2 linked regions of the Saccharomyces cerevisiae S288C genome follow. Changing the gene in region 1 together with any one later gene gives a genetic interaction. Each region holds a gene or a part of one and is shown on either strand. Other genes may lie near its edges.

Region 1 (2,927 bases):
CTAGTTTGTGATAGTGTAGATACCGTCCTTGGATAGAGCACTGGAGATGGCTGGCTTTAATCTGCTGGAGTACCATGGAACACCGGTGATCATTCTGGTCACTTGGTCTGGGGCAATACCAGTCAACATGGTGGTGAAGTCACCGTAGTTGAAAACGGCTTCAGCAACTTCAACCGGGTAGGTTTCAGTTGGGTGGGCGGCTTGGAACATGTAGTATTGGGCCAAGTGAGCTCTGATATCAGAGACGTAGACACCCAATTCAACCAAGTTGACTCTTTCGTCAGATTGAGCTAGAGTGGTGGTTGCGGAAGCAGTAGCAGCGATGGCAGCGACACCAGCGGCGATTGAAGTTAGTTTGACCATTGTATTTGTTATGTTTGTTATGTTTGTTAGTGCTGATATAAGCTTAACAGGAAGGGAAGGAATAAAGACATATTCTCAAAGGCATATAGTTGAAGCAGCTCTATTTATACCCATGCCTTCATCAGTCATCACTACTTAAACGATTCGTTAACAGACGCTCATTTAGTACCTCGCATATTCTCCATATCTCATCTTTCACAGAATTTGATTATCACTATGAAGATGTTATTGTTTTTAAACGAGGCATGCATCTTTATAGATTCCGTATGCGAAGGTATTGTTTTCTGGGGCCTTTGTCTATTCGTATGCGCAGAATGTGGGAATGCCTATTATAGGGGTGCCAGAGTGCCTTATAAAACCCTTTTCCGTGCCTTTGAAGTTTCCGTTTTCGGTCAAAAAGAATATCCGAATTTTAGATTTGGACCCTCGTACAGATTCTTATGTTTAAGCCCATATTCAATTTGCTGTAAACAGCCTCCAATGGAAGAGGTAATACTATATTATCCCTCTCCTGATAGTTTAATTAAAAATAGAAAACGTGTATTGGGAGTCGCTTATTTGTAGAGTTTGTAGTTTTTAAGCGTTCTCAGGAAATTCATTGACGCAATTACGTAATTGTAGGCCGCTGAGAAGCAGCTAGTATTGGAAGAGCCGCGTATGGTAAAAAAAAAATGTTGAGTTCAGTTTGTAGCAGTACTACAACTCTGTGCGGTGGGAAAAATTTATTCTTCGAGGCACAGTATTTTTCTTCTAGCTAGATATAAAGAAAAGTGAAAAAGGCAATATATGGCGCTAATGTATTTTATTCAATTAAAAACTTTCTGTAGGAAATGGTATTAATAGTTGGTATTCCTTGTAGACAAAACCATCGCTATATTCATGGTGACGGCTCATCTCTAAAGCTTCTTAAATGTACAGTCAGCTAAGTGTTCTCATAAGAAAGGGTTTGAAGAAGTCTCCGATAGCGTGCTTTAGTATGTTGACGAAAGAAATCAAGATCTAGCTTATATGTCATAATGAAGTAAGTTATATTGGAGTTTTTCTGGTAAATTCTACAAAAGTTATGCAACATACTTATTTCTGTCCTCTTCTTACTCGTCTTGCGGCCAAAACTCGAAGAAAAACATACGGGCCAAGAAAAATGATGCAATCCTCCCAGTTCTAGATATTCCCGCTTTTAAGTCCCGAATTATAACAATATAAAAAGGATATAGAAAATGTAATTGTTAACTTGTGGTATAAAGACAAATTCAAAAGCAAGTGAGGGCCCGCTAAGGCTATGAGTTCAGAATTATTAATATCTAATTCTAAACCAAGACCAGAAGGATTAAGAAAATTATGCGAAGGTGAGACAGTGATCCTTCCAAGGGACATAACCCCCAGCAAATGCGCTTATTTCTTAAAACAGAATATCGTATTCATTTCATATATTTTCATCCATATTATTATTACCATAATCTTAAACCGCCTGGCATTATCTGCACACGGTAATACTTTGATTATTATCTTAGCGGCTTTACTAATTACAATTTCACTATTCCTTTTACTCCTCTTACCTTACTTAAGCTGCTCAAGATATAAGTTAAGATGTTTAGATGATGATTGTAAGTTCAAACTATTAGCGGAAGTCATTACACATAAACCTAACATGGACTTGAGCACATGGGACCGGATTGCATATGACATGAACCAATTTGTATATGACCGTCGTATATGTGCAGATAGATCTTTTTTCTACGATGGCAGTTATTGCTATCAGGTTTTTAAAAAGTTGGTGGCTACCCCGTACCTTGTGAATTCCAATATGAATAGTATATATGCTGATCTGGAGATGAGAAGTAATGGAGCAACCAACATTAACGATTCTGGTAATAGTTCATTACACATCGAATTGGGCACTTATATTTTTAAAGCATTGGCCGTTTTCAGGAACTCTGTTGACAAGTACTGGGAGGATAAGTATCCAGAGATGGGGGTCACAGTTTGATTGGAAGGTATTTCTAGGTTCTACTTTAGTTTTTTATAACGCATCCAGTACAAAGAAATGATATTGGTATTTGGAAAAGTCATTGAATATTCTTGAATAGATTATAAGTGAGCTTCCTTTCTGTATCAGGATATGTGGCTTAACTTTAAACTCGTATAATAAAAGTACTCGTATTTTTGTGGGATGTTTGCCTCCGTAAATTTATAAATGGCAACAGGAACACTATTATAATGTAATGTTACAATATTACTTTTACTGTATAAGTTTAATGCTTTATAAAACTAGATGGCAGCTTCTAAGTTGTGGCTTGTGTCGGAGGTTCAAGCTGTCCTCCAAGTTCAGCGCAGCGATTATTTGCAAATTATCTACGTAAGGACTATATAAACGTTTCGATGCCCTCTCTTCACATCTTTTGTGTCGAACCTCGAACATCGAGCATGCATTGTCCATTTTTGAGCCAGTTTCTGCTTATTCTCGTATTTCAACAATAATGTTGTTGCATAATGTACGCACACTTTGTGCGGCATTTTATAGCTTACAGATACAGATGAATTTACGAGCTGTATAAAAGAACTAC
Region 2 (2,354 bases), on another chromosome or scaffold:
ACGACGATTTTGAATCCACTACTGCGGTCCTCGACTCTATCAACAAAACAAGATCTGAGTATCCATATAAAGTTTCCATCTGGGGACCCACATGTGATGGTTTGGATTGTATTGCCAAAGAGTATTACATGAAGCATGATGTTATAGTCGGTGATTGGTTTTATTTTCCTGCCCTGGGTGCCTACACATCATCGGCGGCTACTCAATTCAACGGCTTTGAGCAGACTGCGGATATAGTATACATAGACTCTGAACTCGATTGAAGGATATATTTAACCACGACTTTCGCAAGAGAGACGGAGGGGGTGGGAAAAGGCTGAATGCAACCATTGTCACTAAGAATTTGAGTGTTCATGAACGAGTTATACACGCTATTTAAGAGTCAGAGAATGATGATTCAAGAAAATTCTGGCATTTTTCCTGTCCACCACTGTACGCCATTGTACACAAAAGTATTTTTTTATATTTTTTTTACAATTTTTTATAATTTTTTTTTATGTTTAGTGTATATTTGCTAGAAAGAAACAAGATCTTTTTTGGTAGTGTAAATGCTTAAACTTTGTCTCTTTTTCCTTTTTACTTTGGAAAAATGCCGACGCAAGAACATAGACATCTGCGAAAACCAAAAATAAAGTACCAATTGTACATACAAAAACAGAGAAAAAGTTCATGAACAGAACGTTACTACGGTATAGCAAGATCTTTGAATACATCCATTACTTCGGATTGTTCACCATACTTCAACACAGGCCAAGATAGACCATAGCTACAGTGATAGACGAATATTTATTTCAAAAGAAGCATCAACCATAAAATAAAAAGAAAAATGATGAAAAAAAAACCAAAGTGCCAAATTGCAAGGACCAAACCATCGGTCGAAAACGTCATACCATATAACCAATTCAAGAAGACGCAGCCGCGATTCAACGGCAACTTTTCTGCACTGAATAATGAAGAATACATAATACTCTTTGGCGGAGGTCGGGACCTGATACTAGGCTCCCTGACACCTTGTTCGAGCTCTCATTTGTCCAATCAAGCCAACCCACAAGACACCAGTGAGTATGGCACAGACCTGTTTATACTCAACAGCTGCATTATCATTTGGTTCAATGGCTTGGGATATGGGCTGGAAATTCCCTACAGCAGCGTTTTGTACCATGCATCAAGACGGCTACCAGATGGTAGGGAAGGGCTTCAATTAGAAATTTTGCTGACTTTGGAAAGAGACGAAGTGTTGGACATGCTCTACCAAAGCCTCGCGCCACAGGCCTGCGAATTCGACGGCGAAGAAGCACATGCCTTCACCGTGCGCAGCGTGGAATTGACTATCAGGCCCAAATATTCAATATACGATCGCCATTATAACAACGAAATCGAAACCCTTTTCACCTTCGAAAACTTCGGCGTGAACAGGGGCGATGACCTGGTAAACAATTGTAACGAAGCACTAGCCGTATGCATGGACCTGCACGGTGAGGACGTACAAGATCAAGACCAGGAACAATACCAAGATCCAAGCATGGCGTTTGAGGGTGCGCAAGATCTCAACGCCACGTATTCTGGGCTTGGAGACACCCTTCACGGGCCGCCCGTGTATCAGAACGACGGGCTGGCAGACGATCTGGATGGCGACCTCGTTATGGACAACGTGGTCTCTAGGGGTGGTCCAGAAGCAAGTATGTCTATGGAGTTCTACGCAAATCAAAATCTTGCTGGCAGAAAGAACTCCAGAGACAATGAATGAACAACATCTATTATGGGAACATCCCGCTGTACTATGCGGTCTCGTCCTCTACGAATATGGCTATTTGCCTTCGTATATACCTTTCTATACCAAGTAATGAATGTCTTGAGGGCCCGTATGGCCGCGCGAAGGCTTAGTTAAGATGTTTCAGCAAACGGCAGCATGTGAAAAAACCCGTAGAAGGTCCGCATCAGCCTTCCATGCCCGTGCACCCACGGCTCCTCGGAGGCCGGGTTATAGCAGCGTCTGCTCCGCATCACGATACACGAGGTGCAGGCACGGTTCACTACTCCCCTGGCCTCCAACAAACGACGGCCAAAAACTTCACATGCCGCCCAGCCAAGCATAATTACGCAACAGCGATCTTTCCGTCGCACAAGTTAAAAGAAATTGTTGAAAAATACAAATAATCGCGAACAATACGTTGTTGCTATTTAACGCTTTTGGTCTGACAGTAAGTGTGCCTTTCCCAATCACCGAAAAGTGTTGAACGATTCACTGCGACAATAATCAGAGATTACAGTCGGCATTTTGGCATTTTTGGCATACTTTTTATCGATTGAACCATCTTCTCCAAACACTTTTCCTTTTTCCTTCTATTCTGCAG

Evidence for each region. A genetic interaction does not mean that the proteins touch.
Region 2: mutations in DFP4 (region 1) and YKL183C-A together harm fitness more than expected from each alone (negative genetic interaction), as found in Saccharomyces cerevisiae (one large-scale study listed by BioGRID).

Annotation. Positions count from the first base shown.
Region 1 is NC_001140.6:11,923-14,849, forward strand, and holds DFP4 (DUP240 family protein), read left to right. Parts: upstream 1-1,642; coding exon 1,643-2,350; downstream 2,351-2,927. Other genes in the region: seripauperin PAU13, read right to left, coding at 1-363; PXP3 (Pxp3p), read left to right, coding at 580-927.
Region 2 is NC_001143.9:97,895-100,248, forward strand, and holds YKL183C-A (uncharacterized protein), read right to left. Parts: upstream 714-2,354; coding exon 501-713; downstream 1-500. Other genes in the region: ornithine decarboxylase SPE1, read left to right, coding at 1-263; LOT5 (Lot5p), read left to right, coding at 827-1,747.